2 linked regions of the Daphnia pulex genome follow. The protein of the gene in region 2 interacts with the protein of the main gene of each other region in a biochemical or structural test. Links are inferred from orthologs where the notes say so. Each region holds a gene or a part of one and is shown on either strand. Other genes may lie near its edges.

The links.
Region 1: the proteins of serine/threonine-protein kinase fused-like (region 2) and kinesin-like protein KIF7 form a complex in vitro, tested with the Drosophila melanogaster proteins (4 studies listed by BioGRID, with this or other methods). The link is inferred for Daphnia pulex from reciprocal best matches to the Drosophila melanogaster genes fu and cos.

The regions. Positions count from the first base shown.
Region 1 is NC_060028.1:3,201,462-3,204,324, reverse strand, and holds part of kinesin-like protein KIF7, read right to left. Parts: coding exon 2,808-2,863; intron 2,708-2,807; coding exon 2,538-2,707; intron 2,466-2,537; coding exon 2,158-2,465; intron 2,081-2,157; coding exon 1,875-2,080; intron 1,792-1,874; coding exon 1,541-1,791; intron 1,476-1,540; coding exon 1,299-1,475; intron 1,224-1,298; coding exon 1,095-1,223; intron 1,014-1,094; coding exon 876-1,013; intron 799-875; coding exon 250-798; 3' UTR 241-249; exon of another isoform or gene 116-240; intron 1-115. UniProt on the Drosophila melanogaster protein: Regulates cubitus interruptus (ci) processing by recruiting multiple kinases to promote its efficient phosphorylation.
Region 2 is NC_060025.1:6,992,364-6,996,876, reverse strand, and holds the start of serine/threonine-protein kinase fused-like, read left to right. Parts: upstream 1-1,638; 5' UTR 1,639-2,158; coding exon 2,159-2,269; intron 2,270-2,333; coding exon 2,334-2,447; intron 2,448-2,521; coding exon 2,522-2,844; intron 2,845-2,911; coding exon 2,912-3,153; intron 3,154-3,227; coding exon 3,228-3,330; intron 3,331-3,399; coding exon 3,400-3,525; intron 3,526-3,601; coding exon 3,602-3,881; intron 3,882-3,948; coding exon 3,949-4,331; intron 4,332-4,444; coding exon 4,445-4,513. Other genes in the region: E3 ubiquitin-protein ligase lubel-like, read right to left, coding at 48-213, 393-398. UniProt on the Drosophila melanogaster protein: Probable serine/threonine-protein kinase; maternally required for correct patterning in the posterior part of each embryonic metamere. May be involved in control of cell division during metamorphosis and ovarian development. May interact with costal-2.

The sequences.
Region 1 (2,863 bases), on a different chromosome or scaffold from region 2:
CCAAACGTGAGGCACCGAACGTTGCAGGTGTGTGCGCCGACGAAACATTCCGATACGCCAATGAACTGCACCAAAGCTTTCTCCCCCCGCCATTGATTCGTCAACCATCAGATTCAACATTTTCATTCACGTTTAATCGTCGAAAACTCGCACCTGTTTTCCAGTCAAAATTCATGAAAACAAATTTGGAAGACCAACGGACAAATGGTTATTACATTTGGCTGAAAAAGCAAAGCAAACCGAAATAAATCAGCGATGGCGGCGTTTGGTATCTCTCGTTTCGGGTTGGACCGTCTGCTGTTTGATAATGAGTTTGTTCTTCTCTCGCGTTACGGTCGTCGTCGTTTCCGGCGCCGTCTGTCGACCCCGCATGCGGTGCAGCCCTGTAATCTTCTGATGCAAGGCCTGGACAGCTTGAAGACCCAACAGACTAGGAGTGCGACTGCTGCAAGCACTTGGCGCCAGCTCAGAAGTAACGGGCACCACACCTGAGACGGTGTTGCTATTGCCTCCCGTTCGATGTTTGGGCGTGACGCTCAAGAGGTCACGCAGCTGCCTTCGCAAGTCGCGGCTGTTTTGGTACTCGGACTCGTCGTCCAGATGACTCAACTTCCCGTCGCCGTCGTAGCCGCCGCCGCCGCAGACGCTCGAATCCTGGTCGAGTTGCCTTTGAACCGTGGTGGCTTTGGGCTCGTAATGTCGCTGGTGCGACGGCTGCCGCCTCTCCATTTCCAGCTGCGTGTGCTTCAACGCCGCCGATAATTTGCGGACGTAACGACTTTGATCCTCGAATTGAGCCTGAAAAACAAAAATATCACGAAGGGAAATGTAATTTAAGGAAAAAAAGATGAAATATAATAAATCAGCCGTCGTACTTCCAATTCCGCAAACTGCTGTTCCATCTTCTTTGAGCCTTCCCGCAAATCAATCACTTTTTGAAAATATTTACAAAGGAGAGAGCGTGTTTCAGTGTGCGTTAAACTCATGAGTCTACACAGCAATCCGTCCTCCGTCTGCCAAAGGAAATAAATATGTATGAGCATGTAAAGTGGCTCGTGACTTGATAATGTGTTTTTTTTTCTTCCGACACTCACCGAGCTTTTCAATTCGTAATGTCGACTGCAAATAACTTCATTCTTGTACTCGATCGCTGCGTCAACAGCTTCAATGGCTTCGTCCAACTCGAGCATGCGGCGTTCCTCGCTGGCATCCAAGTCGCGCCCCTATTTTTTCGTGAAAATTAAAACAGGATGAGAATTTGGCATTCATCATATTACAATTCGGGACTGGACTTTTACCCTGTGCTGCCTTTCGTCGAGTTCTTGCCGTTGTTGAACCAAAGAGTCTCTCGTGTGTCTCATTTTACGAATCTCTTTGCGAATGGCCTCCTTGTCAGTGGGATTATCATTTCCGGATATCGACTGTAGGTCGGACAGCTTATATTTAAGAAACGAACTGCCTGATGTTTGAACGATCTAAATTTGATGGAAGAAAAGGGTTAGAATTGTTACGCAAGATGTGTAATTAGTAGAACAATTACTTTATCATTTGACTCCATATCTTTTTTCCGCTTGCTTCCTACATCGCCGATGGAACTTGTGTGGCTCTTTTCGGTTTCGCTTTGATTTTTCGATTTGTCAAGGGCTATTTCCCTTTTTTCCAGTATACTCTGCTTCTCTTCTAGTTCTTCGGAGCGCCACGTTATGGCTGTACGCAGTTCGACCAAACGTTCCTCCTCTGCTACCAGCCAGCGCCACTTGTGCTCCAATTCAGATTCACCAGGTGTGCCGTCTGCGAGTCCAAACAAAAGAAAATTGCCGTGTTATTATATAATATGGGCGAATATTAGATTATTATTATTTTTTTAAATCTACCTTTATCACTGCAAAGTTCAAGGAAACGCATTTCGGAACTAACTCGTTGTTCCTGTAGCTGACGTTCAAGTTCAACTATACGCACATGATCCTTTTCTATTTCTTGTTTCAACTCTTTTTTCTTCTCGTTCTCTTGACGAAGCTGCTCCTTTAGAACCGATTGCTGGTCCTTCATAATGGACAGACTTCGCTCCAGTTCGCCAACTCTAAAATGGGAATAAATAAAGTACCATTAGTTGAGTCAAACGATCCATAGAATTTCACAAATGTAAAATGCAATTACTTCCGAGGAGCCCGCGCAGTTAGATCTAGCAACTCTGCCATGTTTTTTAAACAGTGTTCAAAGCGTATAATCTCAGCCCGCTGTTGGCCGATTGTTCGTTCACCGTCAGTGACGTTGTCGCTTTCTTGTTCGATGGGACTGCTGCATTCATCACTGTTGTCTTCTGACTGTTTCCTATGGCGGGGTGGAATATTTAGATCGGATTGATGAGGGACCCTATCCTGCTTAAGCGATTTCTGAATTTTCTCCTGGTGAGTTTTTGTCTGTTCGTTTTCTTTGCTGTCACGAGTAAAATCCACATATTCCTCCTTTAAAAAGAAAATAATAATAAAGATAGTTAAAAATTACTGGGGAGATCAACGTCAGATCGGCAAGCTAACCTTCAAAGAAACTGTCCGTTTGAGCTCCTCAAGGGTTTGGTGAGCTTTTTTAAGTTGTTTGTTCGTTTTCCATGTAAGGAGTTGTCGTTTTTCTGAAATCTCAGCAGAATGTCGCATTTCTCGACATGCATCGTCTTCCGCATCGCCTCCGACTTTCAGGCTCCCTTCAACTGCCAAGAAGCAACAAAGATGTTTAGTGTTTAAAAAAATATAAGATATCATCGACTATAGGTTGAAAATTCAAAACTGATTCAACTACTTAGTACTTACTTGGATGATTAGATGATGATTCATTATTTACAGATTCTGGAGTTGATAAACGAGTT
Region 2 (4,513 bases):
GTTTGAGCTAACCATTTTGTGCATACAAAAATAAAAATAAATTGTACCAAATCGAATTGAGAACGTAGCTTTATGCCCAGTCCCGTATTCTATGTCTTCGTATTCGTCCTCCAAGGGCGGTGGTTGGGTTGTGGGTAATGGAGGTGGTTCAGCAGATGCAGCGTCGTTGGTAGCAGATGCAGATTTATTTTCGGAACTAGCCGGCGTAATTTGCTAAATAATTCCCACAGCATAGAAACAAAATTAATTTCAAAAAATTAACCAACACCAACTTCCCCCATAAAAACTGACACAAAATTGATTGCAAAGAATTGGTTTAGTTGTTTCGCATCGCAATCAAAAGTATAACTGATGCTGGTGGTCTGAAGTAGTAAATAATAGCGTTGACGTACCCTCATTTCATTTGACACTCACAGGAGACATGGGATAGATTCGACACGAGATAGCCAATTGCGGAAACGGATAAAACGATCCCCACACTCAAAAATCGACTGAAAAATCGTATATAAACTCCCGGAGAGATGGAAAAGGCGGACCGCACGCCGCACTGTGCGATGATGATGTCCGTTCGCCCCGCCGGAATAGACACCAAAGAGCAAAGCAGTGCGACAAACAGGATAGGAATGGGCCGCTGGAATTGTCGGCAATCTGCCAGCGATTCACACGGCACCCCCTGACAAAAAGCAAAATCCCAAAAATATCGTCGAGCTCGTCCTGCTGGTCGTATCTTCCCTGTACCGGGGCAGTTCTCCCCCGTGAGACACCGCCAGCGCGTCAGTGAGAATCAATCTAGACATGCATGAATAGATTTGGCCTTCATTGGAAGGCATTCGGAAGGTGTAGCCAACGGGATTTTAATGGTAAATAACATCATGTAAACACCCGTGCAAACAAAAAAAAAAAAGTTTTATCAACTGAGGTGTACTATAATAGCTAGTAATCGTTCAGTAGATTACAGTAAACTATCAGAAAATATGAAACAAAATAAATAAAGTTTTTACTAGATTAACGTATCGTAAATAATAACAAGTTTGTTTTTTTGCCTGAGCATGCAACTATTTCAATTGCCTAGAGTTGAATGAACTGAATACTTCCTTGTCAATTTACCGAATCAAAAACCCATCCGAGTTCTCGAGATGTAGTTTCGCAGGAACAAAATCAACACTCGCGCTTATTGTGTGTGCCGTGTTTGAATGCAGCTGGCCTTTCTCTCAGACGTCACGGATTTAAACTTTATATATTCCTCTGGAAGAAAGTCAAAAATAGCTTGGCATTCAAGGTTTCCAACTCTGACTGCCGGCGCGTCATTGCCACGGTTATAGGAAGCCACCTCCGTCGTCAGAGACTATTCTGCTACCAAATATTTATCAACAACGATATCCAAATCATTAGCTACACCTCATTTGTCCATGCAAAGCATTTCAAAAGTTTAATCTTGATTAAATACCTACCGGAATTATTCATCTTCTATATTTAATTCTTTGTTTACTCTTATCTTTACACTCTTGTAGCTAAATAAAATATGTTTTTTAAAAAAATAGGGAATCGATAGATTTGTACCATCTCGGTGATGGGAATAACGTAAATTTTCAACACATTCATTTCCGGTTGTTTTACCGGTCTTTGTTGTGTGTTTTTTTTTTTTTTTTTTTTTTAAATTCTCTTCACGCCCATATATCTTCCACCTTCGTAGGGCGTGTAGCATACCGCGTGCGTACTGTCTCTTTTACTGCTTTTCGCGGCTTTTGCACTTTTTGGTCCAGTGCACAGCGCACTGGCTTGTTTAGTTATTTATACTCTTATGGAATTTTCTTATAAATATATCATTGTTATCCCTGTGTTATATGTTCACCACTTCGTCAGATTTAATCATGTCTATCTGGCTCGGGAATCATTTTCATCACCTTGCCAGTTGGCCTTATTCGAAAATACAGCGCCATCTCTGATCCAGATATTTACATGGGAATATTGTTAGTCTAAGCTTCGCTAGATGGCTTCTTTTGTTTATAGACAATTCATTTCTGATTAAAATCCAAGAATCGTAATGATCACTACAATTATATCCATTTCTTAACAGCGGTAAAAGAAGTGACACTGCTTTATTGTGGTTTCTTAACATTCAAATTATCTAATAAATCCGAGTTGAAAGTGCGTTGAAATGGAAGACTATGAGGTATTAGAAAAAATTGGAGAAGGATCTTTTGGAAGAGTTTACAAAGCAAGACATAGACACTTGAGAGGTTTGGTTGCTCTCAAGTTTATTCCAAAAGTAAGTGTTATAAATAAATTCCTTTCCATTTCATTGTAACAAATTCTATACTTTGCGTTTGTAGATTGGTAGGACAGAATGTGAGCTGCAAAGCTTGAGACACGAGTTTGAAATCCAGAAAGGCTTGCGTCACCCAAACATTGTTCACATGCTTGGTGCCTTTGAGACATTTAAAGAGGTAATCAAGAAATTTCACAATTTATTTGTTGTAGTTTTGTGTGTTGATTATTAACGATTTATTTCTCCATCCAGCTAGTTGTTGTCACTGAGTATGTTGAAAGTGACTTGTACAAACTACTGGAAGATGGGACACTCTGTGAAGACAAAATGCGAATGGTTGCTTGCCAGTTGCTATCTGCTCTCTACTACCTTCATTCAGACAGGATATTACACCGTGACATCAAACCTCAGAATATACTGCTGACAAGTGATGGCATCATTAAACTTTGCGATTTTGGATTTGCAAGATCCATGGACCTCAACACTTATGTGCTAACATCTGTCAAAGGAACTCCATTGTACATGGCCCCAGAAATCATAGAGGAAAAGCCATACGATCATAATGCAGATTTATGGTACATTTTTTATTGCAGATATTGTCTCTTCAAAGATTTGTTGATTTACCCTTCATTTTTACAACAGGTCCTTAGGTTGCATTTTGTATGAGCTCCTTTTTGGATCGCCACCCTTTTGCACCACATCTTTATTGCAACTAATACGAAAAATTCGTTACGAAACCGTGCCTTGGCCCACAAATCTGAGCCCAGATTGTTTCAACCTCCTTCAAGGTCTCTTGGAGAAAGATCCTCGCCGCAGGCTAACTTGGCCTCACTTGCTCGAGCATCCTTTCCTGGAGAACAAAGTTCTGCTCCCACCTGAAAGACGTATGTTCAATACAATGTTCCTTTTCTGGTAAAGGTAACAAATTTCACTGATTCCCTCTTTACCTTCTCTCTAGTGAGACCTCAGCTTCCCTTAACGACTGCCTTGACGGCTTCGCAGGAACTGGCCAAAGAGATTCAAAGACAAGATCTCTCCCAAAAGATGCCGTTCAAAAACAAGTGAACATTGTCGTGCTGATTATTTTATCCAATCCTTTAACTGAAATTTATTGGTTGTTCTTTTACAAGGGTTTTCACGCGAGCCCTTCAGAGATTAGAAGAGTACGAACGACGCCGAAATAGCGCTCCAGTTTCTCAGCCCAAACAATTGCTGGCCCATCCCGCCGCCGCCTTCCACAGCACCCAATACAATCCGTACGTCACTTTAAACAGAATTTCTAAAAGTCGCGTTTTTTTTTAAATTTAAAACTTTATCATTTTGGTCGAATAGTGCATTTGGAGACTGGACGCGTCGCCAAAGTGCAGCCGTCGACACCCACCGTTTACCGCCTGCCATCGATCCACGGATCAGTGAGAGGCAGCAATTGCTGGAAAGAATTTTAGAAACGACCAGATGGCCGACCAAACAAAATGTGGCCGATTTCGATCCCCTCGATCCTGGCACCAACGCTCATCATTTCTCCCTCATTCAGCCAGCCGTGCCCAACCCGCCAAACAACCAGCCGACTGTCGAAGAAACTGTTTCACCTTCCATCGAGCCCAAAACGGAGGTAAAAATCGATGTGCAGTCCTATCATAGAAGAAAGGATTGACCAAATGATGATTGATTCATTCTAGGCCAAGGAAACGACAACTGGCGAAGTTGCGGCCGCCGCAACCGCCGCCGCCGGTTCGTTGCTGTCGAAATCTCTGGAAAACGACGAATGGGAAGAGTTTCTTGACGGAACGCTGGCCGACGCCATAGAGAATCCGCAGACGCTGGAGCAGAGGGATCTCGTCGCCGTTGTGGTGGCTCCGTTACGCAACGTCAACGCCAGCCCGAGCCTAGTCGAACGTATAGCGACTCTGCTGGCCCTGCCTTGGGCTGGAATCGACCGCGAGGAATCAGTCGACGAAGAATTAATCGTCCGCGCCTACGCAGACACCCGCGTCGTGCCCAATCTCTTGTACGCTTGCAAAGTAATGGTTCAGAGAAGATCTGGCGATAACCGTAGCACCGGGTAACTCCTCTTTTTGTTTATTTGTCACAGTCTAAATTCCATTTCTCATTCTCCCATGTGATTTCATTTCGTTTTCTATTTTTCTTTTTTTTTTGGGTTGTGCCCAAAAACAGGAGCATCGACAGTAAAAAGACGGACGCCGAATTGACGGCCGACGATCTGCAGTCCTTAGAAATGCTGCT